4 linked regions of the Arabidopsis thaliana genome follow. The protein of the gene in region 2 interacts with the protein of the main gene of each other region in a biochemical or structural test. Each region holds a gene or a part of one and is shown on either strand. Other genes may lie near its edges.

The links.
Region 1: of the proteins of MPK10 (region 2) and MYB98, one has a biochemical effect on the other in vitro, tested with the Arabidopsis thaliana proteins (one large-scale study listed by BioGRID).
Region 3: of the proteins of MPK10 (region 2) and WRKY22, one has a biochemical effect on the other in vitro, tested with the Arabidopsis thaliana proteins (one large-scale study listed by BioGRID).
Region 4: of the proteins of MPK10 (region 2) and LBD18, one has a biochemical effect on the other in vitro, tested with the Arabidopsis thaliana proteins (one large-scale study listed by BioGRID).

The regions. Positions count from the first base shown.
Region 1 is NC_003075.7:10,308,231-10,315,974, reverse strand, and holds MYB98 (myb domain protein 98), read right to left. Parts: upstream 4,946-7,744; 5' UTR 4,908-4,945; coding exon 4,231-4,907; intron 4,094-4,230; coding exon 3,967-4,093; intron 3,898-3,966; coding exon 3,418-3,897; 3' UTR 3,130-3,417; downstream 1-3,129. Other genes in the region: IRX1 (cellulose synthase family protein), read left to right, coding at 84-356, 448-793, 890-1,027, 1,100-1,225, 1,293-1,505, 1,588-2,031, 2,105-2,458, 2,542-3,129; RLP51 (receptor like protein 51), read left to right, coding at 6,517-7,744. UniProt on the Arabidopsis thaliana protein: Transcription factor that binds to the motif 5'-GTAACNT-3' in the promoter of target genes (e.g. DD11 and DD18) and promotes their expression within synergid cells (e.g. in the filiform apparatus) in ovules.
Region 2 is NC_003074.8:22,086,949-22,094,903, reverse strand, and holds MPK10 (MAP kinase 10), read right to left. Parts: upstream 2,505-7,955; 5' UTR 2,457-2,504; coding exon 2,233-2,456; intron 1,961-2,232; coding exon 1,831-1,960; intron 1,741-1,830; coding exon 1,603-1,740; intron 1,520-1,602; coding exon 1,187-1,519; intron 1,095-1,186; coding exon 914-1,094; intron 840-913; coding exon 664-839; 3' UTR 501-663; downstream 1-500. Other genes in the region: AT3G59800 (stress response protein), read left to right, coding at 1-25, 119-307; AT3G59780 (Rhodanese/Cell cycle control phosphatase superfamily protein), read right to left, coding at 4,580-4,817, 4,915-4,973, 5,057-5,103, 5,214-5,244, 5,321-5,383, 5,496-5,594, 5,688-5,771, 5,883-5,975 and 5 more.
Region 3 is NC_003075.7:520,701-528,295, reverse strand, and holds WRKY22 (WRKY family transcription factor), read left to right. Parts: upstream 1-4,046; 5' UTR 4,047-4,166; coding exon 4,167-4,498; intron 4,499-4,708; coding exon 4,709-4,819; intron 4,820-5,003; coding exon 5,004-5,457; 3' UTR 5,458-5,766; downstream 5,767-7,595. Other genes in the region: AT4G01245 (uncharacterized protein), read right to left, coding at 152-307, 385-487, 608-705; AT4G01240 (S-adenosyl-L-methionine-dependent methyltransferases superfamily protein), read left to right, coding at 6,324-6,372, 7,576-7,595. UniProt on the Arabidopsis thaliana protein: Transcription factor involved in the expression of defense genes in innate immune response of plants. Interacts specifically with the W box (5'-(T)TGAC[CT]-3'), a frequently occurring elicitor-responsive cis-acting element.
Region 4 is NC_003071.7:18,714,861-18,722,847, reverse strand, and holds LBD18 (LOB domain-containing protein 18), read right to left. Parts: upstream 4,501-7,987; 5' UTR 4,248-4,500; coding exon 3,879-4,247; intron 2,823-3,878; coding exon 2,403-2,822; 3' UTR 2,119-2,402; downstream 1-2,118. UniProt on the Arabidopsis thaliana protein: Involved in the positive regulation of tracheary element (TE) differentiation. Involved in a positive feedback loop that maintains or promotes NAC030/VND7 expression that regulates TE differentiation-related genes.

The sequences.
Region 1 (7,744 bases), on a different chromosome or scaffold from region 2:
GTAAGCACATCCTCGTACTAATCTAATAACATTCACCAAAAAGTTTGAGACGTTGATTTGGTCTCTGCCGTTTGTATTCTCAGGAACACAGAATCTGGTGCTACAGATGTGCTTTCGGTTGTGATTCCTATCCCAAGGACAAAAATCACTTCATATAGGATTGTCATCATCATGCGGTTGATCATCTTGGCTCTGTTTTTTAACTACCGTATCACGCATCCTGTCGATAGCGCTTACGGTTTATGGCTAACATCTGTGATATGTGAGATTTGGTTTGCTGTTTCTTGGGTGTTGGATCAGTTCCCTAAATGGTCTCCTATTAACCGAGAAACTTACATCGACCGGTTATCCGCAAGGTTACAAATGTTTTATAACCGTTATATGCTTAATCTGCGCAGTTACTACCAATCTTTAAGTTTTATGAAACCATTTATCAAAACTATGCAGATTCGAAAGAGAAGGCGAGCAATCACAGCTTGCAGCTGTAGATTTCTTTGTTAGTACGGTAGATCCATTAAAGGAGCCACCTTTGATAACTGCAAACACGGTTCTTTCGATCCTCGCGCTTGATTATCCGGTGGATAAAGTCTCTTGCTATGTATCTGATGATGGTGCTGCAATGCTTTCGTTTGAGTCTTTGGTTGAGACAGCAGATTTTGCTAGGAAATGGGTACCTTTCTGCAAAAAGTACTCCATCGAGCCACGAGCTCCCGAGTTTTACTTCTCGCTTAAAATCGATTACTTGAGGGATAAAGTTCAACCTTCTTTTGTGAAAGAACGTAGAGCCATGAAAGTAAGTAAGCAAGGGCTTTAAAACCTTAAATTAATCTCATATAGCGTTAACCGATGATTGAATCGAAAACTTAATGTCTAATTTCTCTTCTTGTAGAGAGATTATGAAGAGTTTAAAATAAGAATGAATGCTTTAGTCGCCAAGGCTCAAAAGACACCAGAAGAAGGATGGACAATGCAAGATGGAACATCTTGGCCCGGGAACAACACTCGTGACCATCCCGGGATGATTCAGGTTTGCTAGCTAAAACATTTGACCTGAAATGCTCTGTCTTTTCTTGTTAGTCACGTAATTTCTTTCTTGCAGGTTTTTCTTGGATATAGCGGTGCTCGCGACATTGAAGGAAATGAACTTCCAAGATTAGTTTACGTCTCTAGAGAGAAGAGACCTGGTTATCAGCATCACAAAAAGGCCGGGGCAGAGAACGCATTGGTAAACTTCAAAACTTTTTCTTTTATCGTTCAATTTAGCACAATCCTAATGATTTTGTTCTTTGTAGGTGAGGGTGTCTGCGGTTTTAACGAATGCTCCATTCATTCTTAACCTTGATTGTGATCACTACGTCAACAATAGCAAAGCCGTGCGTGAAGCAATGTGCTTTTTAATGGATCCTGTTGTTGGTCAAGACGTTTGCTTTGTTCAGTTCCCACAGAGATTTGATGGAATCGACAAGAGTGATCGATATGCTAACCGCAACATTGTTTTCTTCGATGTAAGTTATCTCATACTCATAACTTCAAGCAAAGTTTTGAGATTTCTTATGATATTTTGTGGTTTTGATATGATGTTTTCAGGTTAATATGAGAGGGCTTGATGGGATTCAAGGTCCAGTTTATGTTGGTACAGGTACTGTCTTTAGAAGACAAGCACTTTACGGATACAGTCCACCTTCAAAACCGAGGATTTTACCGCAATCTTCATCATCGTCGTGTTGCTGTCTAACCAAGAAGAAACAACCTCAAGATCCTTCCGAGATTTACAAAGATGCAAAGCGAGAAGAACTTGATGCTGCAATCTTTAATCTTGGGGACCTAGACAACTACGATGAGTACGACAGATCGATGCTGATTTCACAAACAAGCTTTGAGAAAACGTTTGGTCTCTCTACGGTTTTCATCGAGTCTACTCTTATGGAGAATGGCGGTGTTCCCGACTCTGTAAACCCGTCAACGCTCATCAAAGAAGCTATTCATGTCATTAGCTGTGGATACGAAGAGAAAACTGAATGGGGAAAAGAAGTAAGTGCCTTGTTTCTTCATATCAAAGTTCTCTTGTGAGTACATTTTATAACCTTTCGTTCTGTTTTCGCAGATAGGATGGATTTACGGGTCGATCACCGAAGACATTTTGACGGGTTTCAAGATGCATTGTCGTGGATGGAGGTCGATTTACTGTATGCCATTAAGACCAGCATTTAAAGGATCTGCTCCAATCAATCTATCAGATAGGCTTCACCAGGTTCTACGTTGGGCTCTTGGCTCGGTTGAGATCTTCCTTAGCCGACATTGTCCTTTGTGGTACGGTTGCAGCGGAGGCCGCCTCAAGTTGCTCCAGAGATTAGCTTATATAAACACTATTGTCTACCCATTCACTTCTTTGCCTCTTGTTGCTTACTGTACTCTTCCAGCTATTTGCCTTCTTACCGGCAAATTTATCATCCCAACGGTAACTTTTTCATACTACTAATTACTTTGGTTAGGTTACAGCAAGATTGAGAATTTGATCTTTGTTTCTGTTCTTTATTGCAGCTATCAAACCTAGCAAGCATGCTGTTTCTAGGTCTCTTTATATCAATCATCTTAACGAGTGTCCTCGAGCTTCGATGGAGCGGAGTCAGTATCGAAGACTTATGGAGAAACGAACAGTTTTGGGTTATTGGAGGTGTCTCAGCTCATCTCTTTGCCGTTTTCCAAGGATTCCTCAAAATGCTCGCTGGTCTCGACACAAATTTCACAGTCACATCGAAAACCGCAGATGATTTAGAATTCGGTGAGCTTTACATTGTCAAATGGACAACTCTCTTGATCCCTCCGACGTCACTTCTTATAATCAACTTGGTCGGAGTTGTTGCTGGATTCTCTGACGCTCTTAACAAAGGTTATGAAGCTTGGGGACCTTTGTTTGGGAAGGTATTTTTCGCCTTTTGGGTGATTCTTCATCTTTATCCATTCCTCAAAGGTCTTATGGGAAGACAAAACAGAACACCTACTATTGTTATTCTCTGGTCTATCTTGCTTGCTTCTGTGTTTTCACTTGTTTGGGTTCGTATCAATCCTTTCGTCTCCAAAACCGATACGACTTCCCTTTCTCTGAACTGTCTTTTGATCGATTGCTAAGAGAAGATACGTTATGTTTGTATTTTGAAAGATTGATCATATGTGTTTTGGTTGTTTTATAAATTTTCATATGGTTGCTTGAGCCACAAGTTAAGTAATGTTCTTATTTTAGCAACAAGTCTTGGCGGGTTCCGCAAGTTAGGTTTCTATTGTTTCAACATCAACATGTTTTTAAAAAGCAAAATATTTTATATCTTTTCAAATTATTGAAGTTTGGTGGAATCTGTCTCGTATAAAAAGACAAACAAAAAACAACAAAACTGAAACAAGCAGAATAAAAAATACAAATCAGAGTCCATGAACAAAAGCATCAATGTCAGGCTGAGGAATGTCATCAAGCAAAGAGTCAATGCTACATCCTTCCTCAAGCAGCTTCTCATTGAATCCAAAATCATCAGTAAACACACATTCAGGCACAATCCTGTCTTGTCCATACACCTCCTCTTCCTTCTTCTTCTCCTCAACCGCAACAACAACATCCTTCTTCTTGTTATTACTCTCTCTGCGTCTACCTCTTGCAGGAACAGAAGAAGCCATCAAAGCTCCCATATTCAAGCTCTTGATGTAATCCTGCAACAGAGAAGGTCTTGGATACTTAGATCTACATTTTCTTTTAGAGAATTGTCTTCTTTTTGTTGCGTTCCAATGGTTCTTGATCGAGTTCTCTGTTCTTCCCGGGAGTCTTTTCGCAATCTCTGCCCATTTGTTTCCAATCTCTTTGTGAAATTCTATCAACACTCTGTCCTCTTCTTCACTCCATGTTTCTTTCTGCAACAATCTTTATCTTTTAGGTTCCATAATCATCAATACATGATCTTATAGCTACTAGTAAAATACCTTAATGTCAGGTCTCAAATGGTTATGCCACCTCTCTCTACATTGTTTCCCGATTCTTCCCGGTAACACTTGAGCGATATGCGACCATTTACGCAATCCATACTTCTCCACGAGTTGAATCAGTACCCTATATTATCCAAAACAAGAAAACTTCATTTACAAGCAAAAACGGGTGACTATAGTAAAAACCTCTAGAATAGTGTAATCATCAAAAGTCTTGATTATGTTAATTGATTCTTGAGGTTTCTTGTGTTAATAACGAACCTGTCTTCTTCAGCAGTCCATTGTCCTTTGACTAAGGTTGACTTTTTGGTTTCTTTCCATGATGATGATGAAGAAGAAGAAGACAACTTTCGTGTAAGAAATGGTTTGGTCTTGTTGAAACTTGTTGCTCTATAACAATCATTATCTGCAGAAACACATGAAATTTCATCTGGCATTACGAAGTTCATAGGTTTGAAAGTCTCTGTAGGAGGGTAATCAAAAGGGATCATCCTCATCATCATCATGTTGTTTTGCTCCAAGTCCATAGGATCATCATGTTCATCGACCAAATTGATCTCTTGATGATGATGATGATTACGAGTGAAGTATGAGTTTTCCACTGCTTGGAAATGATGATGATTCATCAAATTTGGTTTAGTTTCATAGAAATCGACCATGTTTTCTTGGTAAGAGCAATGCTCGAAAGGAGCATTATTGATACAAGAAGACGTAGTTTGGACGCTGAGCAAAGGATGTGAAGATGAGGAGCCATGATGATGATGATGATCAAACTGATGATCATGATCAAGATGGTGAAAATCTTGAAGAAAGCTTGTAGGTTTTGATTGGTCGACGACTTCGAATGGAAAATCTTCTTCTTTCATGTGTTCTTGATCACGTGTGAAGATGTTTTGGTTTAGAGAAGCAAAACCATTCTCGTCGACGAAATTCTCCATTGTTTTGGAAAGGAGAAAAAAAAAACTAATTAATTAGTAAAAAAAAAAAAGTGAAGTCTTTTTCCGATTTTGTGTTAGCTTTGTTCTTTCTCGTATTTGTAAGGTAGGAGAAGAAAGAAAAGACATTTAATGTGTGTTTTTACTATACCCATAAATTTGTTATGGATTGAAATCTAACGTTTGTAGTTTGTTGGTAGCATTAGTGTGATTTTGTATATATTAAATTAATTAATTATTTTTTTAAATTATTTCTTAAATGCTTAGCCATTTTTGTGTTTTTCTTAAATCATATCTCAACATGAAAGTGAGGTAAAATTAAGAAAATTAATTTCGAAGTTAGTTTACAATGAGATTTTTTTTTTTTTTTATCCTAGTTAGATTTTTAGAGGTATTACTAAAAATAGTTCAAATTAATTATTTCTTTTAACATATTTTGATAGAAATATAATTAGATTGAAAATCAAGTTAGAAAATGTGAGATAATAATCTTTGTTGACGTTACACATTAGGTGTTGTTGAATTTGGGGTAAACATAGTTGAATGTTTGTGAAAACGCTAGTATGAATTAAATCTAGTTTTTAATGTGTAAATGACTCATTTATTGTATATTTAGTTGTCTTTAGTTAATTTATCATAAAGTGTAGTATTAATTTAGTCAACAAAAATGTAATTACCATTTTAAATGCCGAAGGACAATGAGTGTATTGACCATATTAGCTCTAAGGTCTAATTTTCATTTTGTTCACTCCGTCTTCTAGAAGTAAACCCTCACAAAAAGTCTCTGACCAAAGTGAAACAAAAAAAAAACTCAAAAACCGCATCGTTTATAACAAAGTGTTAACAGTGTGACTCTAATGGTGTTTCTTGCAGTGTACAACTTCTTAGTTCTTTAGTTCATGCATGTATTTCTTTTTTCTGCCTAAATCTGAGTTCTGTCCGAAAACTTTTTAAAAGACCTCCCTTATTAATTCATGTATGGGGGTTACAAAAAAATATGATTCCTATGATATTCTTCTTGTCCCCACCTCAATGCATAAGGACTGGACTAATGCTAATATCGATGAACTATTTACAAAAGCAAAATCAATGGAGTCTTAGATTACACGATCAAATCCAGGGCAGAGCATAAAATCATCCTGGTGAAATAACATTTGGTAATATACCTTATTTATACACTTCTTTATAGAGTTTTGAATGGTTACAATGACATAGAGAAAATGTAAAGCAAATAAATTGATTATGGTTGGTACATGTCGAATAATGAGTTTTAAAAGGTTGTTTACATTTGTCAAAGTTTCTAACACATAGCAAAAAAACAACAAAAGAATCTCTATCCATAACAACCAAAGTTGAACTAAAAAGCCAAAAACATAGTTAAATACTAAATGCAACAAAATAAGAGTTCATATAGAAGAAAAGAAGAAGATTAGAATAAGGTCAAAATCGTAATTAAACCAAAAACAGAAGGCTAAAAGTATACAAAACCCAACTGTCACATGACCCATCTTTGAAAAATCCAATCTTTCTCTTCCTTCTTCTTCTCTTTCTCTCTTTTACTTTCTCTGACACTATCCTTCTCTTTCTCAATCTCTCTCTCTCTCTCTTCACCATGAAACCTCCGTCGTTACCGTTACTCCTCCTCCTCCTCCACCTCTCAGCCACTATCTCCGCCGCTCCTTCCCTCTCTCCAACTCCATCTCCAACCACCTCTCCCATTCCACCTCACAAACCTTCCTCATCCTCTTCCCCATTAGACCCAAAACAACTCAAAGCCCTTGAATCTCTCAACATCCCCACCGTCAAAGATCCTTGCAACCACCGTCCCACCACCAAATCCACCTCCTCCTCCGTCGTAACCTGCGACACCAGCTCCCCATTTCGCCTCGTCACTTCCATCTCCTTCACAAATTGCTCCACCGATCTCTCCATCTCCACAACAGCTCTCAGAGCTCTCTCACCATCTCTAACCTCTCTCTCTTTCCTCAACTGTCCTTCACTCTCCCCTCCTCCACGTCTCCCTGACTCACTCCACTCCTTCACCGCCGTCTCCTCCTTCCTCCGCCGCCGTAATGGCCTCTCCGGAGTCTTCTTAGCTCGTCTCGTTAACCTCACTGACCTCACAGTCTCTTCTGTTCCAGTCTCAACCTCTGGTCTCTTCGTTATCCTAGGAAATATGCACGAGATCGTCTCTTTGACAATCTCACACGCAAATCTCTCCGGAAACATCCCTAAATCATTCCACTCAAATCTCACATTCATTGACTTATCAGACAATCTACTCAAAGGCTCAATACCCACTTCCATTACTCTGCTCTCAAACCTAAAGTCTCTAAATTTATCCAAAAACACCATCTCCGGAGACATACCCGACTCAATCGGTGACCTAATCTCCTTAAAAAACCTATCTTTATCCTCAAACAAGCTATCAGGACCAATCCCAGATTCAATCTCATCCATTCCAGAGCTTACACACTTAGATCTGAGTGGGAACCAACTAAACGGCACCATTCCAAGATTCATCTCCAAAATGAAGTATCTCACACACTTGAATCTAGCTAACAATGCCTTCCATGGAGTTCTACCATTCAATGCGAGCTTTATCAAGAATCTCGAAGTGTTCAAAATCGGTGGAAACAGTGATCTTTGTTACAACCATAGTGTATTGTCATCGAAGATGAAATTGGGTATTGCTCAGTGTGATAAACATGGTTTGCCTTTGTCTCCACCGCCGCAGAAAGAAGATTCGAATTCAGATTATGATTACGGAAATGAAGATGATACTAGTGAGAAGAAGAAAGAAGAGCATCATGGTCCTAATAAAGTTGTGCTTGGTGTTG
Region 2 (7,955 bases):
GAAGAAGAAAAGCAAAAAGAGAAAGGTGCCTTCTAAAAGTTTAGCTTATATCAGATAGTGTGAGGTTTTCTAGCTTATGCTAACATGAACCATGATCGGTTGTGTTATGAATTTGCAGCATTATTCGTCCTCAGAGTCGTCATCTAGCAGTGATGAAGATGAATCTAGAAGATCAAGATCAAGTTCGAAAAGATCAAAGAAGGAGAAGAAGCACAAGTCCAGCAGAGACAAACACTCTAGCAAAAGTAAACACGAAACCGATGGCCCTGTACCACTCTCTAGATTCTTTGGCAATTTGAAGAATTGACAAAAGCAAAACTGCAAATGAACTATTACAAAGAGTAAGATTGTCTTCAATCAAAATACTCAAAGTAGGATATGATTGCTTTCTTCCTTGTTGCAATGTTATATTTTTGACAATAGCTCATGTATTAATATTTGTTGGATTGAAAGTCGCAATGATGCCCACAGAATCATGGTTTTTCAGTTTATTTGCTTAAAAATGAAATTTGACAACATCAAAAGGGAATCTAGCAGAAAATCTTAGCACAACAAAATTTCTGAGAGATGAAAAAATTAAAGGAAATGAAAAGGGAAATTATTCAAAGAAAAGCAGAGAAGGAAAAGAAAAAAACAGAACAAGGATCAAAGATATGGTCCTTTTCAATCATTGCTGGTTTCAGGGTTGAAAGCTAGGGCTTCACAGTAGATTAACTCTCTAAACTGCTCCTCAGAGAATGGATGTTCATCTAAATCGAAATTGAAGGGCTCTGAGCACTCTGGTTCATCGGTAATGTCGTGAAACGAGCTAAGGTATGGATGAGCAAGTGCTTCTTTAACTGCAAAGTGGCAAAACTGATGATAAGAATCCAAATAAAACTGCAGAAGAGGCTATATGGAGACAGAAACTGACCTGAGATTCTCTGTTTAGGATCAAATGTTAGCATCTTCTCCACCAAGTCTATTGCTAAGGGAGGCACGTTCGGGAATTTCTCAGTGAAAGATTGGCGAGGAAGCGTAGGAAGCTGCCTTATGTATCGCTTAGCGTATTCACTCAACGATCCAAGCTCTTCTTCAGATGGAGTGCCAATGAGCTGCAAAACAATGTCCCAAGACTTTTTAAGCTAATCATGAATCACAAAAAACGAATATGATCTTGGCACAACAAAGGGTTTTACTTTACTACCTCCAGAAGCAAACGAAGCTGATTAACTTGATCTTTCCCCGGGAAGAGCGGTTCACGGTTCATTATTTCCATGAAAATACAGCCAACAGACCAAACATCTATTGCTGCGGTATAGTCAGAAGAGCCCAACAGAAGCTCAGGTGCACGGTACCATCTTGTGACAACATACTCAGTCATTAAATTACTCTCAGGAGTTGCACGAGCGAGCCCGAAATCACAAATCTTTAAGTCACATTGTGTACTCAAGAGGAGATTGCTTGGTTTTAGATCTCTGTGTAGCACATTGGCTGAATGAATGTACTTTAATCCGCGCAGGATTTGGTACATGAAATACTGCCAAAAATTTGAAGATTGTGTCAAGCTCACTAATCAAAATGATTTTTAAGTTTCAAGAAACAATAACTCTAAACACACACCATGCCATGATCTTTGGTTAGTTCTTGATCTGATTTTAAGGTTCGATAAAGGTCAAACTCCATCAATTCATTCACAATGTAAACATCTTCGAATGAATCTCTCTGAGGAGGCAAGATTACGTCTCTGATTGCAACAATCTATAGAAAAATGATATTACATAGTTAGCTTTTAATGAATAACAAAATAAAAGAAAAAAGGTGAGACAATAGTTATAAAATCAAACGAACATTCTCATGATCGAAGTGACGAAGAAGCTTGATTTCACGAAGAGTTCTCTTTGCTTCGATAGTGTTATCAAATACTTGCGTTATTTTCTTTATTGCTACCTTCTCATTGGTCTCGGAGTCCACAGCCGAACTGTAAAAAAAGTTAAAAAGAAAAGTAAAAACTAATGTGTCAAGTGAGGAAATTTTAAAAGTAACAAGAATAACATAAAAGTCATGAATGGTATAATAACTGTTTAGAGATCTCTATGATAGAAACGATTTGAACTTTTCTCATAAAAAGATGAAACTTATCAACCCAAACCATAAATTACACACAAAAATGGTCATGGCATCTACATTCTAAAGTGCTCAAAATGATTAGGAAAAGAAATGAAACTATTAATTCTGTTAAAAGGATATTACCAAACGATGCCACAAGCACCTCTGCCAATAGGCCTAATCGGTGGCTTATACTTTGCGGGGAGTTCAAAGATATGCCCAAATAGATTGTACTGGATGTATCTGCCGTCATGGCTGAGAGTCCCCGGAATATCGATAGTCGTCTTGAGGATTTGAGATGACGGCCAAATAGCGGTTGTAACCTCTCCTTGAGTTTCCAATGTCTCAGCATCGTTAGTTGGCTCCATGGTTTTCTTTTTGTCTCACACAACCTCAAACTATTCTGTTGAGAGAAGTGATGTTTTTGCTTTGGTTGGGTTTAGTGGTAGTGAACTAAACTTATATAGAGTGGATATGTGTAAGTATGGATGTTTAAGTCCAGGTCCAGGAGGACCCAGGAGATATGAGTTTTGATATATTTTGATAGTTTTAAGGTAAGTTTTTTTAACTTATAGGAATTCTGCTGTGAATTTCCTTTTCCATATGGAAAAAAAAAAACTAAATAATCTTAATATATTTCCAGCTAATGAATACAAAAAAACTAATTAATTTATGGAAGTGTATAAGTGAGATGATTTTAGGTAAGTTGTTAGAAGAAGATTTTTTGCTTTTCATACACCCTCTTAAATTAAATGCAAACATGGCAATACAATTTGGATACATACTCTTCATATTCATTTCCTAATTTGTGTTCATTTTTGTAAACAATTTTCTGTATTTTCATATACTTTAAATTTAGTATAGAATAATATTTTTTGAAAAATCAATTTACTTGAAATTTTAAAATATATAGATATTTGATATGAAGTTTCTATGTAATCACCATCACTTACAAAGAAACCTCAAAAATATTATTAATAAACATAATTCAAAATAAGTCTTACCATTTATTATTATTATTATTTTGTTATTATAATTTTTTTTAAAAAAAATAATACTATACTAAGTTTGGTAGTTTTTAAATATGTGTATAATTGGTTTTCATTTTTTATTTACAGGTTAATAAAATATTTGTTTCCTTACCTACAAAATATTATCCCTTCTGCTACACTTAGCATGTTTGGGTGATGATGGGATTCGTTTTTAAGTAGATTGCTGGGAATAGCAAAAAAAAAAAAAAAATCTACAACAAATTTATGAGATCTAATTTAGTTAAATGTGTTATATATAATATATTTATAAGAAAAAAATAAAGTTCATAAGATTTAATAACAAAAATGACAGTCCAGCAATCAAATGATAAATCCACTGCATCACCACTTCTGTATTTTATCATTGTTTTCTATTTGTGCTGATAAATAGAAACACCACACACTTCTGCTAATGTCGTTCGTTGATTTATCATTGTCCATTCTGTTTTTCATTTTAAATGATAAAAAATATGCTTACACATTGAAATAATGTAGTAGTGGTCGATAGACATATACAATGTTTAGTTAATCTTGTCAAATTTTCTAAGTTTCTGATTAGTATTCTTTCGTTTAGAAATTAAAACGCTTGCAAATTCACAACTTGCATAAAATTAGTAACTTGCACATACGTCGACGGGAAAATTCACAAGTACAGTAGGGAAATTAGGTAAAGAGTAATATAACGATGCTATATGAAAAGTAAAAATTCAAAGCCACGAAAGTAAGATCAAAACTAGATGGAAATACAGTTTTTTAAAGAGAAGAAACGTTTTCACTCGTCGTCAACTTCATTGATATGGCTTCAGCAGCTGAGTGAAGTGTACGAATACGGTCAATCAAGTTAGCTTTCCTCACATTCAAGGCCAAACAAAACTCGATAGGAAGAATGTAAACAGACACCACTAACAACTGGGAATGTGATGAACTAATTAAAAGGATACAAATCTAACAACAAACCGATACTTTGGAGTGTTGTATTTGTTCTTGTCTTGATTAATAAGACGGATTCTGGCACGATTATCAGTCTTGCCATCTATATTAAGAAAACACGAGAACTGTCACAACAAAATGTTAGCTTTTGATTAAACAAAAAATAAATGTTTCTATCTGTGTAGAATGATTACCTCTTCTTCTCCTGGATTTGACCTGACCCCTGAGTCAAGGATGACGATTGCTTTTTCACTAAACCCTAAGTATGCCACTTTAAGGCCTTCTGTTATTGGGCCTAAAGCCCAAAGTTATTAGGGGAGAAATTGCTGTAATAATTTTACGTGTAACCTATAACTTTTGACCCAATTTAGCTAGTTCTAAATTTGCAAAACAAATCTCAGCATCCGAACGAAAAGAAAACAGTTTTTTTTTATTACACTTTTTCTGTTGCCGATGTTAACGGTTCCAAGAGACGAACAAAAGTAATTCTTGGCAATTATAAGAAAAATAGAAAACAATTTTCAGAGTCTTTACGCTTCGGAGACATCAACGTTGTTCAAAGCTTCTTCTGGTGACGATGATGCATCTTGGAGACTTTCAGAAGTTTCATCAGAGGGTTTCGATTCATGCTTAGCAGCAGCTTGCAAAACCCGGCTTCGAACATCTGAAGAAGAAGGCGAAGTTGGGAGGCCAACACCATTTGTTTCTAGTTTTCCTGCAGCCCACGAGAAAGCCTGAGCTCCGAGTTTCACAGGTGCAAGCAACAGCCTTGAAGAAGAAGATGAAACAATCTTTGTTAAGACAGAACAGAGGTTTCGCTGAGTTTTTGCTATGGAAAAAGGGTCTAATGATGGCGCTTTTATACCTGACGTCTTGTTTGAAGTCTTCGGAGTCATCATATGAAGAAAGTCGTAGGTATATAGTCTGCATAATGTTTGAAACTTGAAAAACAAAACAAAGCAACTATAATTTGACAAAACTTAGAAACTGGAAAGGCTAGTATATACCAGACTAAGGCCGATGACAGCTATGAGTTGCAGTGTTTTCTCCCACTCTGCGAGAGATAGAGCAATCATGTTAGTGCAAAACGTGGATGTGAGGAGCTTGTGTGTTGTGGAGAATATGAGATATTCTAAAGGGGAAATGAGAAAGAATTAAACGCACCAGACAAAGCATACAATGCTGCGAAAAAACCCTGCATATATCTTCTTATATTAGTCAGGATGGGATTATTATTAAACGGAAATAGAAAAATAGAACTAGAAGCATACCACACCAACTCCAAATAGTTGCAATGGAGAGGGATTTATGTCCTCAAAAATCGCCTCAGCTTCCTGAAAAGCATTTAAGATATGTTTAACTTACTGATGAAAAGATTTGAGAGCAGTTTCAATTTCATCTAGCTGAAGAAACAGTCCAAACATATTTGTATTCATATGGTATTACCTCGTTGAGGATGGTAAGTGTTGTCTCAGGTTTTGGCTCTTTCACACGAAGACCTTCCTGTACCCATGATCTATACCCACCTTGCATCAAGTATGGCCTCTGTCACATCATAGGCAACCAAAGAAGAGCTTATTCGAAAATGTTTAAAGGTAACTTATTGTGTTCAAAGTGAATTATGCCTGAATGACTTGCCTTAATCCCAACTTTTCTCAGGGCTCTTGCAATACCCTTTGAACGAGTTCCATCAGCATCCATAACAACAACCTTGGACCTGTCCTATTAGTGGGAGAGTAAGCAAAATTATGAGATGTCAGCATACTTAGAAACTGAAACAGCTCGAGCCACAAAACCATAGTAAGTTACAAAAGAAGCATGAAGGTAGCACACCTGAACTATTTTCAAGTTCTTGATGATTACTGCTGTCAAGATATCATCTACTTCACTTCCACCTTTCAGTAGCCGTTTGACATCACCGTCAACCTTAAACATGAATCAAGAACAAGAACCCATAAAAAATGTGAATAAAGAAAAGTCTGATATCCTACTTCTGTTGCACTGATTGCTGAAACCTCGTTGTGTTCATAGATTACATGTGTAGAGTTTCTATATTCGCTGTGGTCAACAACAATGAGGATGCTAAAACCAACCTCAGGCAGTGTCACGCTAGAATATCGAAATCGAGCTGATCTCCGCAGATCAGGTATTCCATCTTTCTCTCTCAAGGCCTTCAAAAAGACAGTAGCCAAAATGAGCATTTTTATTTCAACCCAAACTCCTTGATGAACATTATGTGAAAGAAATAATCAAATTGTGGTGGGTTTTGAAAAGTTATATATCATGAAATGGGAACTTGTTAGAAACTTAAGAGCGTCTTACTTCAGGCCTGACATCTATGAGCACTGACTTGTCTCTTGATTTTAAAAGGTCCAGAGTTGACTTGGGAGACAAATCTCCAGCATATCCACCATATGTCCAAACCCGATATAGAACCCTGCAAATATCTGGTGGAAAATATAAATTCTTCTATACTACATTGTCCTCTCAAGAAAAGCAAGTTTAATATCCTTCTAGGGTAAGAAAAGCCGTGTACCAAAAGGTTCCTGTGGTGCCTACGAAGAGAAAAAGGTGAAGGATTGGGTCATCTGGATCCAAACCGATATTTCTCTCCAAACCTCCAATGGCAACAGATACCTGTTCATCATGATACTGTTAGCAACTGTAGTCCATAAAGAATTAATTTTCTTCTACGAAAATATGAATGAACCTTCAGTATATAAGACAAAGCACCTGCTGCAATACAGCTCCCACGGGACTCAATACTTTTAGAGCAACATCTTCTGACGAGTTAAGGGCACTCTTTACATCTGGAGGAAGTAATTCTTTTGCTGATCCATAAGAGTACACAACAAAAGAAACTCCATTTGTTACAGATCTCTCTCCAAGACTAACTGATTGCCTCAGCAGATCAATGGCAATAACAGCTGCTCTGTTTGAAGCTTCCTTCAAGCCAGTAGAAAAACTCGAAAACTTGTCTCCAGCTACATCTCCCGTTTGGTCTAGCGTAGAAAACGCTCTGTTAACTGCACTATCTACAACTTCAGAAGCATTCTTTGTAATGGATGTCACAGACGAGGAGAAGGACTCCAAAGTGTTCTTTACAGCATTTTCTCCTTGGTTAAGTGAAGAGCTGAAGGACTCCTTGACCCCAGAAGAAAAGTCATCAACGCTAGCTTTCGCATCAGGAAGTGAAGAGCTGAAGGACTGCTTGAGCCCAGAAGAAAAGTCATCAAAGCTAGCTTTCGCATCAGGAAGTGAGACTGAACTATCCGGAGATATTTTAACAGTCGCATTGGTTCCCGATTCAACAGAGTCTATAAGGCTACTGGTCTTATCGGTTAAAGTCTCAGCAGAAAGGCATTCAATGGGGGAAACATCTGGTACAACAGCTTCAACAGGAGAAACATCTGCTGCAACAGCTTCAACAGGGAACACATCTTCTCCATTTTCTACATATGTCAGTCCCTCATCACTCGCTACAAAAGCTTCACTCATGTTATAAACCATGTAGTTTATTCTGTCCAACTCATTCTGGCACAAACTTCCGAATGTTGATACTGGTTGTTCTGTTTTTTCGATAGTACCGGTCAAGAAACTCCCAGTGGCTTGAGGTACGAAACTCTTCTGCAGGCGTGTTCCATTAGAGATACCAAAGAAGGCATTGTCACCTGAACTGTATCTGTGAATCAACTCTCTCCTGAAGGAAGAACAGCCTCGCCAATTGCCAGGAAATAAAATCTGCAGAAACAAACCCGTTATGAGGTACTTACTTATCTATGAAAATGAATCCAAAAACCCAAAGCACTAACAAAGCGTAACACCCATAGCTCAAATTGGATGACTTCAATAAATTTGCTACCAGTTAGCTTATTTACTTTCACTTCTATAAAGAAAATCTAACCT
Region 3 (7,595 bases), on a different chromosome or scaffold from region 2:
ATACATTGGGAAATAACTTTGGAAAGAGGCAAAAACTCATCACTTAGTTTTGAAGTTTACTTATAATTAGAGACGATAACCTTTCAAAAATAATTAGAGATGACTCCTACACACACACCCCTAACCAAATGTTTTTATAGAGAACTTGAATTCATGATGTACAACAAAAGTACCATTGCTGTAAGGTGACATTGACGATGTCGGGTCTTTTAAGGGAAACTTCTGTGTAACTGCATTTCTTTGAAACGTTTATGTCCCGTATAGCTCTGTTCTCTTCAGTTATCAACTCAAGTTCCCTCATTCGTTTCTGGTCATAGAATAAACATAATAAGAGCCAGATATAGAAGACACAAAGAAGATCGAGAGAAACACCAAAACACACACCTTTAGTTTTTCTATCTTTTCCAAAGCTTTTTCAAGTTTCTCAGAAGATTGTGCTTCGCCTCTACCCAGCTGATTGCACTTGGCTAGCAATTCCTTATAACTCCTGTCAGAGTAAGAAAGATTGTTTTGTATTAGAGACTTCATAAAAGAAAATTCAAAGACCTAAAAGAAAAGAAACGCAATGTTCAATCCTCTCTTCCTCAACTTCTTCACCATTGCTTACGAAATTGCGTAGTTTAACAAGTTGTTGTAAGAGACTAGAAACCGAACAAAGTACTCTACTCTGCAGGAATAACAAGATGAACTAAGGTGAATCACCATCTTCATAGGTCACTTGAAGGTCAAATTAATTTTGTTTAATCGGATTACATTGCTTCAGACATGACAAATGTGAAATAATGAACCAAGTTCACAAGTCAATGACCAAAATGGGACCAGGGAAGCAGTGACAACTAGTTGCTATGTACCTACATATTCTAGATAACCAAAACTATGTGAAGCTATGTGAACTGAGTGGAACTAAGCTGTGTGGCAAGCCTATTCGGGATAACCAAAAATGAGATCAGGGAAGCAGTGGCGAACCTATTTCAGATAACCAGGACTTGACCAGTGTGTCTATTGTATCTTTCGTCTTAGCGTTATTCCCCAACAAGGGGAGAAAAGTTGAAATTTCAATGGTAAGCGCGAAAATTTGGGGAAGGAAAGCACGTGTAAGTCACGTGAGATAAAAACATATACAACCTTAGTGGCTTGTATTAGGCCCAACGTTTTTACCTAACGGCCCATTAAAGCCCAATCCAGATATAAAGGAAAGCACTTGTAAAAAGTCACGTGAGAATAACATTTTCAACCACAGTGGCTTGTATTGGCCCAACGTTTTTTTCACTAACGGCCCAAAAAGCCCAAATCAGCTATTGATTAGTGGAGGAGTACTCATTTATTAATTCCTCCTACTAATTGGGGTTTACCAACTTAACAGAAAAAATGCATCAGTTGTGTGAGTTGTCGAACAATCAAAGTGATTTACCAACAAAATATAAATAAAAGTAATCATTAACTTGATTAGATATAAAATTAAAAAAAAATCGGTTAGTCAAACACAATGTTTAAATTAATGTTGACTTAACTCGTTTTTAGTAATATTGTATGTATCTTTATAATAATAAAAGAATGCTTGGGTTTGGGTCCACGCGTTTTTGTGATACAATGCCTCGTGCAGGCCACTTGGAGCTAAATATTTTTTTTGCTAAAAAAACTCGTCCTCGAAGGTTTCACGTGGCTCATGCACCCCTGACTGGGTCAGGAGAATCTTGACCGTTGGATCAAAGTTGAAGCATTTATAATAGCTTTGACCGTCCGATGAATGACTACAAAGATTGTGATTCGTTATAAGCCGTACGATTGACTAACACAAAGAGGAATCAACATCACGAGGCGAGAGATAATGGTAACAACGGCATAAAAGCATTTTTCTCGACAGCTGTAGCAAACTCCACGTCATCTTATCTTACTCGCCGTGTGAACCGTTGATTTTATGAAAATTTGTCAACCTTTTTTACTCGCGGAGATCACGCGCTCCCCTCGTTTGGCACGTGTGTCACACTCTGCTTCACTCGTAAAATTCTTTTTCCTTTTCTTCTTTCTTATTGTTCACCATATAAATTATTTTGAACCAATTTTTTTTTTACAATACAAATTGTTTTTAAATTTCTATACAAATTATATATTATTTTTATATTTATGATTATTACATAATAATTAGTTAAATTTTTTCAAAATAAATATTCTTAAATCTGCGTGTTTTTAGTTAAAATAATTTATATTGTGAAACGGAAAGAATAATATTTTTTCCGAAAATAAAATGTTTAGTAAATTTGTGTGTTTATTTCAAAAATTATGTTATTGTTTTTCTTTTTTTTAAATGAGTTGTAGAATGGGAAGAACTAAATAAACACACTACTCATATTATTATTTTTTATAACATTACCTACATGTGCTTTGCTGTTGCTATTCTCAAAAGGTAATGAATGGTACAATAGTATCCCATGTTTAGAGTATGTGGCAGAGTGATCAACACTATGGTGCTAAGTGACAATCACTATCTTTCTATCTACATACTTTTTATATTGCATTTAAGCACATTTTTTGGAAAAATATAAAATGGAATACATATGTGTTATCCATGAATGGTTCTTTTTTTATAAACATCAGTTGTTAGATTGACTATTTTGTAATGTCGAAAGCTCACAACAAATTAAACTTTTATTCTTATCCCTTAACATTATAATTTTTTTTGTCTAAATTAATCTTGACAACTTCCAATTCCATAATCGTTGGTGTAAAAAGATTTAAGAATTGTTTACTTCATCTTGTGCGCATCGATAAAAAGTGGGCACTAGTACGAAAGTATGGTTTCCCACTATTTAAAATCAAATCAAAGGATCCCTAAAAGCGCGTGTGAGAGACGCGTGGAAATGTCCAAAGGAGTGTGAGGTTGACAAAAGATGAATTAAGAGATTATTCAAAGCCTTTGACATTTTATCAAAGTCAACCAAATACAAGAAACCGGAAACCATAAGTGGTTTTAGTCACTAGGCGACAAAGACAGGATAAGCATCGAGATACCTTCTTCAAGCACATACTTTTCTCTCTTTCTAGAATTGCCCAAAAAAGCCAAAGAGACTATTCCTCTCTCTATATATATATAGAATATAAAATATTCTAATATACGTATTATATAATCGGCATATACACGTATTGTGATTCCGACAGTGCTCATCTTTTTCCAAGTGTGTTCATACTTATTTGCTTTTAAAACAAGATACAGAGATATGTTTAATTTAGTAATGTCTAAACAATTGCTATCACTAAAAGGAAAATATGTCAAATAAACACTAACATTTAGTAAAATTGTAACGATAGGTTGGCACAATAATGGCATCGGTTTATAGAGGACGATTCCTATTAGTTTGCTAATTACAACATCTAGTATTAGTTTTGTGCAATCGTCACATGTCCTTCTTCATTTCCTGTTTTATATACAAAAATTATTCAGTATGTTTACACCATCCGTACACAAATTTTATTTTTAGTTAAATATATTTTATAGTCACAAGTTGTGTGACTCAACAAAATATTTTCAGGTCTTTTTTTGTAATTCATAAATTCATGTCTATTAATATTTTCAACTAATAAACTAATTTTTGCGAGATAAACTTTGAATGGTTACAGCGATCCAAGCGGACAAACCATCTACAAACCGAACCGCTTTTTATTTATCATTCACAATCTATAGTTCGTAATGAAGCAGAACCAAAAAAACAAATAAATTTGATGCGGATTGACTTTAAACTAAGTTTGCAGCGGTTTGTTCTCTGTCCTAAAAAATAGTATAGATTGGACCGTTGACGGATTAGTTCGCACTAACCACAACATATCCGTCTCAAAAAATAGTATAGACTGTACTGCTGACGGATTATTCCGGATTAACCACAATATCCATTCAAAACAATAAGTTGATATGTGGAATAATTACAATGTAACAAAAAGAGAGAAGAAAACAAAATTGTATATTATACTGTATTTGAATCATAAATAATAATTTAATAAAATCTTTCCTCCATTTTTTTCAACCCTTTTTTTATTTTCGTCCATCTTCAGTCTCTTTATAAACATATCTCTCTACCCTTCAAAAGTCAGCGCTCTCTTTTGTCTCCTCTGCTTTTTTCTCTTCTCTCCTCAGAGATTCGAAGCTTTTTGTCTCCCCTGAGTAACCAAATTCAATGGCCGACGATTGGGATCTCCACGCCGTAGTCAGAGGCTGCTCAGCCGTAAGCTCATCAGCTACTACCACCGTATATTCCCCCGGCGTTTCATCTCACACAAACCCTATATTCACCGTCGGACGACAAAGTAATGCCGTCTCCTTCGGAGAGATTCGAGATCTCTACACACCGTTCACACAAGAATCTGTCGTCTCTTCGTTTTCTTGTATAAACTACCCAGAAGAACCTAGAAAGCCACAGAACCAGAAACGTCCTCTTTCTCTCTCTGCTTCTTCCGGTAGCGTCACTAGCAAACCCAGTGGCTCCAATACCTCTAGATCTAAAAGAAGGTTCGTTTCTTCACCCAATTTTCGATAAAGTTTAAACCTTTTGTCAAACCCATCAACAAGTTTACGAAATTCTGTTGAATTAATCAAAATTCCGAATTTTGCTGTATAGAAATGGTTAAAAGTCTCAATTTTTGTCGAACCCATCAAATTTGATTGAATCAAGAAGGCTAAAATAAAAAGTCTCTGTTTTTATTTGGTTGCTTGTTACAGAAAGATACAGCATAAGAAAGTGTGCCATGTAGCAGCAGAAGCTTTAAACTCCGATGTCTGGGCATGGCGAAAGTACGGACAGAAACCCATCAAAGGTTCACCATATCCAAGGTAAAACCAAAAAAATTACCAGAAAAAAAAAAGTCATTTATTGAGTTATAAATGTGTGTATTCTTTCAAGACAAAAGAAACTTGTCTGTTTTTGTGATTCTGTCTGATTTTGGTTTGTTAAATTATTATCTGCGTTACATTTTTGGTAAAGGATTCTAATTAATTCTCATTTTCATGAAAACAGAGGATACTACAGATGTAGTACATCAAAAGGTTGTTTAGCCCGTAAACAAGTGGAGCGAAATAGATCCGACCCGAAGATGTTTATCGTCACTTACACGGCGGAGCATAATCATCCAGCTCCGACACACCGTAATTCTCTCGCCGGAAGCACACGTCAGAAACCATCCGATCAACAGACGAGTAAATCTCCGACGACCACTATTGCTACTTATTCATCGTCTCCGGTGACTTCAGCCGACGAATTTGTTTTGCCTGTTGAGGATCATCTAGCGGTGGGAGATCTTGACGGAGAAGAAGATCTGTTATCTTTGTCGGATACGGTGGTTAGCGATGATTTCTTCGATGGGTTAGAGGAATTCGCAGCCGGAGATAGCTTTTCCGGGAACTCGGCTCCGGCGAGTTTTGATCTCTCTTGGGTTGTGAACAGTGCCGCCACTACCACCGGAGGAATATGATTAGATTACGACGGCTTAGAATACTCTTATTAGGACAGATTTATAGGATTAAGGAATTATTCTCGGAGCATATGTAAAAATAGGATAAAAGAAAATGTTCTTTGTTACTTTTTTTCGGGTTTTCTTCCTATTGTTTCTAAACATCTTAGAAAAAATTTAATTGTATATTCCTTAAGCTCGATACATCTTGTTTAACTCGAGTACGATTTACTTATGGAGTTATGGTCTTTGTCTCATCATTGCATAGAACTTGTTTCATCCTTGCTCGAGTACTCACTGATTTACTTGTGGTATTTATCTCATTGCGTTAAACTTGTTTCATAACTTTAAACACAATAGTCTGACGCGACTAGGCAAGTGCACGTCTCAAGTGGGATCTAAGAGATTTCTAGGTAACCACCATAGCATATATACATAAGATAATATTAGAAACTAATTATAGAATTAAAAAAAAAAAAAACTAACCATTATCAGTTTTTATGTGAATAAATAATCATATGACTATATAAAAAATACAAAAATGTCTTTACAACTTAAATCGAAAGCAAGTTTATGAGAATAACAAGATATTTATCAAAAAATGATATTTTTCTAATATGTTATGATAATAAATGATCTGTTATATGAAAAAGTAGTATGTTGACAGAAAGAGATTTTCAGTTATCACGTGTAATTTAAAAAAATAACGTGGTTAAAAAAAATAACATACAATTTAAAAAGAAAACATAACGACGGAGATTCCAAAAAAAATCAAAATCGAACAAAATAAAATGAGAAATCTTCTACAAATTAAGGGAGAAATAATCTATCAATATAAATAACGTTTGGCAGCCTACATTTATCGAAAAAGAGATCTGGTGGTTGTGATGGTGGAAGATGTGGTGGTTGTGGTGGTGGAAGAAAGAGAGATGAGTGGTAGTTTGTTTCGGATTCGTCGGAAGTTTTTCGCCATAGAATCATCTAAGTGTTTTGTGTAATTTTGGAAAATAACGTGTAATATATATAAAGTTCGAAATGGGTATAAAAGTAATTGCAAGTGAAGAAATAGAGTGTACTGTAACAGCATGGCTAGTTTGTTAATTCTTTTACAATCTATGGTTATTTTGTGCATATTCTTATAAAAATACTAGGAAATGTCTCACGCGTTGCGTGGGTTTGTAAATAATTTAATAATATATAAAAATATTTTATGACTAAATAAACATTAATGGAATAATATAAAATACACTAACGGTAAGAAAAAGCAATACCCAATTTTAATTAAAGAGTAAGTCTTTTTATTAGATTAAAATGACACTATAAAATAAGCTGTATTTGTTTCTTTTGTATCCACTATTAGAATCTTTTGTATTTAAGTATAAATTTTAGATATTTAATTTTTATTTTAAATGATCACAAAAGTTTGTAGGAAAAATTTCTTTTAAAGAAATATTTGGGAAAAATAATGATATATAATTAAAACTATTGAAAATAAATAATAGTGTATTTAAGTTGAGAGAGGACACATGTCACAAGGAGAGATGTCACGTGTCAGCTTCTCGTAGCTCTTGAATAGGAGAAACCTTTATTTATTATATAAGATGTATATAAAATTGATTGTGTAAGATTTTTTTTTTCTTTTCTAAATATTAAATTAAATATAAAAATGTGTGTGAGTTAATATTTAGAATTTAAATAGTATCAATAATATTAAGTGTGTAGAATCAAAATAAAATAATAAAATAGATTGCAAAAGACTAGAGTTTTGTTTAAATAAAAAATTATTAAATTAAATATCAAGAAAAATGTTTGAATTACTGTACTGTCGAGAAAAGATAATAATAATATATATATCTTACATTGTATATTTAGGCGGTACTTATCTAGTATACATATTATAGATTTTATTATTAATTCATTTTTTGTTGGAATTTTATTTTACCATATTTTGTGGGTTTTCAGCTTTTAATTTAATAAAATTATATTCACTAAAAAAATACGTTTGTACAAAATTGTCACTGAGACTATGATTTGGGGTGAAAAGCTGTAGAGTTGGAGGGTGAGGCCACTCAAGATGTGAAGGGTGCAGAGGCTGATTTCCAGAGAGCACTGCAGTCTTCCCTTTTTGATTCTCATCAGAAACTAATTTGGAGGAACTC
Region 4 (7,987 bases), on a different chromosome or scaffold from region 2:
AAAATTGAAAAGAAAAAAAAAAGGGTTAAAAGAATGGACCACGTACAGCCGAGGTTGTCATGTGATGGACAGCGATTAACTTAGAAATTAGAATTATTAAATATCTTTGATCATCTTTTGAAACGAACAAATGCCTCGAGAACTCGGTGCCAAAATGTCAACGATTCTCTTAACATCAACTTAAGCATCAAAGCACAACGCATTTGGACTATTTAATTAAATGTAAATTACAATCATAATCTTCTTCTTAATTACTTACTTACTTTAATGATTAATTACTAGCAGAAACAATACTCTGTTCTCCTACAACATTTTCTATTTTTTAATATAAGAAAACTAATTTTCAACTATAAAATAGATACTATAAAAACGGATGAACGAAAATGAAAATGTATCTATTATATATGTAGTTAGATTTATCCTACCAAAAAAAAATGTAGTTAGATTTGTTGAAATTTTGTTTGATAAGTCATTTAAAAAAAAAAAGTAATTATCACGATAGTCTTTTCCTAAATGCAACCGTTTACAATTATCGATTCTGAAATTTACATAATGACAAAATTGAATACAGACATGAGAGTATTAGGATTACAACTATAACTGTAAGTTTCGTCGTTGACCAAAAACTAAAACTGTAAGTTTCGAAAGAAAACAAATTATTTTGGTTAAATGATTAATAGGGCGAATACTACTCCACTAGTACAAATAAATTATTTTATTGGCTTACAAAAACTGATGATTCTTTTATTCAGAAAAGAAATAGAGAATGTAAATCAAATAGTTGTAATATTTTGTAAACTTTTATTGCAGTGGCTAAAGTATTAAAGTCTTAAAAAAAAAAACTTAAGTTTGTCATAGTTTTGTAGAGATTATGAAAAAGAAATTTGTAATAAACATCGAAAGTTCAAAATATTGTTATCAAGTAAACTATCACAATAACAAACAGAGATACAGTCTTACAGAGTGTCAACACCCAAAATTAGAAAAAAATATTCAAAAAAATCAATCTATATATGTAAATATGGAGATAAAAGTACATTTTATATTCTGTCCCGATTTATAGATGCAAATATTTTACAGGAGGGAGCTCCGACATGTAAGGAAGTGCAAGCTTTGTTATTCTAATCTGTAAGAATTTTTGATAGTATGCAACAAAATGATTGCGTTTGATATCGCTTAATATTAAATATCGTGCATGAGAAGAAATAAGAAAATAAAAAGGGAGTTCGATAACGAAATTAACAATAATATGTATATATAGACGAAGTTAACTAATAACTAGCTTTCTTTATAACTATATTTATATGAATAAATAAAAAACACTTCGCCTTTTCTTCGGCTTATTCATATAAATTTATTAACGAATCTCACGTACACGAGCTCCTTTATATTAATTATGTACTAAACATTGATTTTAAGCACTAAAATACCATTGATCTGTTAATTTAAGTTGAAATTTTAACTTATATATATTTACCAAATGACATTCCATTCCCAAAGCAAATGCAATCTATTCGACGATTTTTTTTCGTTTCTTAGTTTCGTTTATGTTTTATTTTAGGGTGTTGGGCTTCAAAAACAATTTACATATGTCTCTTTAGTAAAACTTAATTTTGATCGATTACACTAAAATCGTCAAGACCAATTTTTCTTTCAAACACTTATACAAGTAAAAACATCCTCACCAAGGAATTTAGAACTTGAAAAATATCCACTACCAAATTGTTTTAGATAACATCAGGCCCGTAAAGATCATCATGCGATACAATCTTATATATATTACCAATTACCAAATGACAATTTCGTAGGAAATATCTTAAGAAACTACACAACTCCAATTGATATTGTAAATCCAGTCCCGTGGAAATATCTTCTATAAAGAAAGAATACAAGAGAAACCCAACTCTATTAGTGAGTAAGGATATTTCTCGAGAAGCATAGTGTAAATTCACTTCGTGCTCTTTGCAGATGTTGATGTCTGTTTAATTCAGCCATAAGACCATAACTCTGTAATTTACTTCCTCTTTTATTCTTTTTTGTTGAAATGTAAGGGATTAAAAAAGGCTTGACAAAAGTAAAAAAGTTGAAGGTCAAAGCCCACAATATGAATGGGCCTTGCGAGAAAATGCCCGAGGCAGAAATAAGAAGATGGAGTATATACAACTGATTAGGAAACGTATGTATGACTCGGGATATATTCAAAAACTTACGTAATAGGAGAAAAAAAGTAAAGGCAAAGAAGAAAGAAAATACTCGTCAGTCAAAAGAAGTGAAAATACAGTAGTAATACAATATAAATGTTAGAAAATTTATAATCAGTACTTTCAAAGAAAATTAAATCTTATTGAGTTGTAATTTAATTTTCCTAATAACAATGCGGAGATGTATCGATCAAAACCAACTCATCTAGACATAGTTCGAGACGGCGAGTGGTCGGTAGCTGCCGGGGGAGGAGATCCTTGTCTATGGAGGAGTTCATGTGCTAATGCTTGGAGGTCATGACTGTTTTCACCACCGAGCCCCACGGCGACAGAAGAGGAAGACGATGATACACCGTATTGGTGACGTGGATCAATGAATCTTCGTTGTTGCGTGGCCCATGCCGAAGAAGACGTCGTTTGATCGAAGATGGATGCTAGGTCATAGGTTGAGGGCAAGGGTGAGACTGATGCAGGTAAATCGGTTATGGCAAGAGGGGGAGGAGGAGTGAAAAAGAGCGGTTGCGGTTGCGGCATAGGCTGTGGCCGCGTTTGCGGTTGAGGTAGCTCTAGTGATGCCAAATGGGCTTGTAAGTAAGAAACTTCTGCCTGTAGATTCACCACCTATGTATACACTTTACGAGTTAGAATTTGTTTTGCATGATATGTAAACATATAGGTTTAAGGCTAAACCTGTACTTTTCTGGAATTTACGTAAGAATGCGATTAATGGCTTACAATTTATTGCAAATATTATGCACTTAGTTTGATCAGTGAAATCTCTATCTCTTACAGTAGTTTTTTATACGCTTAACGTGATAGCTTAATTATCCTAAAATAGTTTTTTTTGTTTTTTGTTTTTTTAAGAAGATATCCTATAAATAGCTAGTTAGTACGTGTTATTTTAAAATTTATGATTTCATGTAATTATCACATTTCTAACAGTTTAAGCAATTACCTGTTATTCACCTTTAACTATAGCATTCAGGAATGGAATTAATGCATGTTCGATTTGCTAAGGTTGTTAGGCCACAAATTATGTAAACTATTAACATAAATAGTAAAAAAATAAAATGACACGCATCATATAAGATCATCCCCTTATTACACGGTTAACAAAAATTGCGAAGAAACAAAATGATTTATCTTCAGTTTTCACAAGAAAGAAAACGGTTTTTAGTGGAAAAAATATAATGGTGTATATACGTATCAACACAGAAAATTGTACCCGACCAATTCCCGAAAACCAGCAAAACAAAACTTCGTAACTTTGCAATGGGACTTGTCACGACCGTATCATTTTTATATAATTGCATAATAGATTATATTAAAAGATTTCATAAGTAATTAAACAGACAACCATGCTTTTTTTTTCCTTTATACTCAAAGTAGAAGATTGCAAAACCAAGAAAACTCAAGAAAGTGCAAACTCTCGAAAAACTCGACGATTTCATTTCATGCACACCAAAAAATTGTTCATACTAAAACGAATTTGCATGAGTTTAAAATTATAGATTATTCCCAAACGAAACCGAAGTTTGCTACTTTGGAAAAGAAAAAGAAAATTGTAACTGTCACCAAAATAAATTGTGGTTAGTTTAAGTCAATTAGTATGTTTCACATATATTGATTTCCAACGCATTTTACTATTGAGAAAAAGTTTAATAAATTATTAATTACCTGTTGCTGAAGAGCAAAGATGTGAGCGACGCAACCGTAGATAGGATCCCTTATCCTAGCCTGAGCTTCATAGCAAATTGTTACGACAGCATCGGACCTTCGATGAACCGGTATGTGTAATAGAAGCTTCGAGACGTTACTGGCTCCGAACACTTTATGCACCGCCGCAAAATAAGCCGATCCTTGCTCGGAGTCAAAGTACGGTGCAAATATACATCCCGGCACACACTTCCTCCTTAGAAACTTACAAGCACCACATGGCCCACCACCACCACCGCCACTACTTCCTCCTCCCCCACTGCTGCCTCCTCCACCACAACCACCACCTCCGCCTCCCACGGCAGTGATTGTGTTCCCACCACCGCTCATGACCGGCCACCCCCCAATTAACGAGTTGTTACTCTATCTCCCCACTCTTGCGTTAGGGTTTTAAACTTGTTGAGTAAAAATATGGAGATTATGTTTGGTATTGTTTGAAGATGAGAGGAAGATTTGAGAAACGGGAATCAAGAGAGGAGAATTAGGGTTTGGTAAGAGGAGAGTATAGAGAAGAAAGTCTTTAAAGCCAAGCGACGACAAAGCTAACAAAAAAAAAACGATCTCTCTCTATTTTCTCTTTTTCTCTCACATTTAGTTGTTTGCGTGAAGCAAACATGCGATAAGCCTCTTCTATTATTCTTTTTCACAATCTTTAACTACATAATTATATTATTTATGAATCAAAAGAGGAAAAAAGGGGGAAAATCGTTTGATTACCTAATATCCCTTGGAACATCTCGTGATAAAAAAAACTATTTTCCAAGAAAAATAAACTTCTTGCTTTCTCTTTATTTACTGTGAATATACATGTGAACTGTAATTGTTGGAGATATCTCATGAATTTAATTACGAACAAGATGGATAAATGAAATAAAATATTATACCCTTAATTAAGTTTTTTTTTGGCATAGTTTTTAAACTATTGACTTGAGGTCCAACTTAAATTAGCCATCAAACACTAAAATTTTACAATTTGTAACTATTGATAAAATAGTTATATATATATATATACATGGCGTGTATACAAAATGCCAGTTCTTAGTTATTTTCTTTAATGATTCGATTTTTCAAAATTTTATATTATCGGAATAAAAACGCAAAAGCTTATGTAATTGAAGAAAGACCTTTTTGATAAGAAGAAGAAAATTCATAATTAATTGATGAAATAGTTAGTTACGCTTACTAGAAAATGACTCGTTCGCCAACTTATCTTTCCAAATTTATAAAAAGAGCATTAACTATGTTAAATCATTCATTCTAAGTTAAAATGAGCATTCACGTTTTCCAAAATCAAGTGTAATGGATTCGATTCCGGTTTAGAAACGAGATCAGAGTGAACCGGGAGTCAAAATGTCTAAATTTCTCGGTTTGAAATGGAAATAAAACGTAGTTACGTGTACCAACAACAAAAGTACACATGTCAATAATGATTGTAACTGCCTAGCGAGTGAAAGATCGAAGAAACGAATGACGTCATTTTTCACGTGGGTCCCACGCGCCGTTCCCTTAGAAAGTTAGTAACGCCTCTGTGCTTCCTCAATGTCTCCTCCACGCGTATGTTTTTCTTAAATGTGTAATAATCCTTCATTTTATTAGTAAAAAAAATTGAAGTTTGTTGTAATTTTTTTTATAAAATAAATACTGTTAAATAAATGAATGAAAAAAAAAATGTTAAGCTCTTGAACTTGAGTTTCGTATTCGAGTTTTAGATTTAGGTAAAAATATGGTTGACCAAAAAAATTGTGTTGGGCATGAATGCATAACAGCATGAGTCAAAAGACAATTCTTGCTATCATATTTATTTTTATTTTTTTAGTTTATTGATTAGTCATAAACATCGTCGAATTATATAATAGCGTAATAAATTAGAGATGAGATAGTGTAGGAGGTGGAAGTGACATGGTACCTCAAATCTTGGGGATATATGTACAGAAAGGGTCGACCATTTTCGATCAAACATAAACTATTTTAGTTCACTATATTTTCTCTTAGATTGTTTCTTGATATATATGATATATAGCTCATTATATAGTTAATTAAAAAAATAAAATATAATTAATCACTTCGCTTTTGTTGATGAAACTTTTTATTCCACTCGTGCAGTCAAACCCTAAATCTAACATTCTCGTCGAATTTGGTAAGGAATATATATAAGGATTGTATAAATTGATCTGTCTTACAAATTAATAGACGTAATTTAAAAATTATATATACACACATGCGTTGTTTAACCATATATTCAAATTGGGGGTTGATCCTATCATCCTACGACCCTATTATTCCTTTGAACTCTAAAATCCACTGGTCAATATCTACTAAAAAATATTATTAGAAAATTATACGGTGTCGCCTAAAAACAAGGCACAGCGATTGATTTAAGAGTTCAAGTGGAAGCTGATGATACAACTATACTACTAATCTTTTATTAAATATGCTTAATGTTTTCACAAATGTACGTAGCAATACAATCTAGTTAGGGTAACTTCACCTGGTTGGTCATTTATTCATAGCAACTACAACCTGTTTTTTCTTTTTCTTGGTAATATATCATCTGTAGGATTTATCGAAAAAAATCATATGTATCGGACAATATGGGTTACAATGAAACTTTTGATCAAAACATGTAGCGTTTTAGAATAAGTCATCAGGAACTGAAAACCTATAGCTAAGTTGAATATCTATTCGGAATAAATTGTTAAAGTTTCCATGGTTACACGTTAAGTAATTAAGGCCCAACGACTTAATCGATAAGTGGTTTGTCTCCCTATTGCATAAACTGACAAATGATTCCTTAAAAGTAGAAATGTTGCCTTGAATTAAATAGCTATTTGAAATTTTGTAAGTATATGTTTAACTAAACTATAAATTATATAAACACAATCCCAAAATTCTTGTAGCTTGTTTATGTAACCACAAACACAAAAACACACGCACACGCACACATATGAGTTCATTTTAAGTCCAATTGATGGAAAATGGCTAACTGGCAAGAAATCTTTTTTTTTCAATTTTTTTTGTCAAACACTAGCAAGAAATCAAGCATATGGAATTCATTACTTATTTTCTTAAAATTATAAAAGAAAACTTATGTTGTTTGATATAATAATTGGCCCCTTGTCGGATAATTTTCAGACAGTGGTTGCATTTCAGGCGTAAGGCAGTTTCGATCTATAGTTCTGGTCGCAAGTTCAAATTCGACAATATTTTGGTCAAATCACAAAATTCCTCATTATTTATTTCGACGTACATCATCAGAATGTATGGGCCTTTATAATGATAATGTAGAAAAATAGAAGTATGACGATGTACAACAGAAAGATTTGAAGAGATCATTTAAGTAAATTGTACTAATGATCAATATAAAATGTATATAGTGTGTAATATAATTGTTTTAAGAAAGAAGGAAATTTCTGCAAGTTCAAAATAAGAAACTTTGGGGCGTTAAACTAAAACATTTGAGAGTTAAGGGGCTTAAGGCTAATAGAGTAAGGGGAGATTCACGGATTAGTAGACAAGGAACCGAACGGCGCGATTCTCTTCTCCAACGCTCTCATTTCCTACTTACTCTCAATTAAGTTTATGAATATATTATGGATGCTGAATATTTTAAAAATATTTTTTACATTGAATTTAATATCTGAGAATCCTCAAACCTAATTAGATAAAAACAATGTCTTAAATCCAAGCAGAAGAAGAATAGTTGAGCATCGGATCACTTAACTATACATAGAAAACCTCAAACCACATTAGTAAGGTATATTTTAGATCAATATAAGGTAGTTCTATGTTTAGTTTGGGGCCACAAGTTCGACTATCATAATTCTCTCTCTATGTATACATATATCCGGTTAACTTATAGTCCATCCTTGAACATTTTCTAAAATCATTCGGTTAACGATAATTATTTTGGATTTCTGTTTTAAACCTGTCACAATGTATCTTTCACAATAAATTAATACATATAAATTTTAACTAAAAGAACTTTGGAATGATGTATTTTTTTTTTGTCTGGTTGGTAAAAATTCGTAGATAATTAGACTACTGATCATATTACGAGTAACCAAACCAAT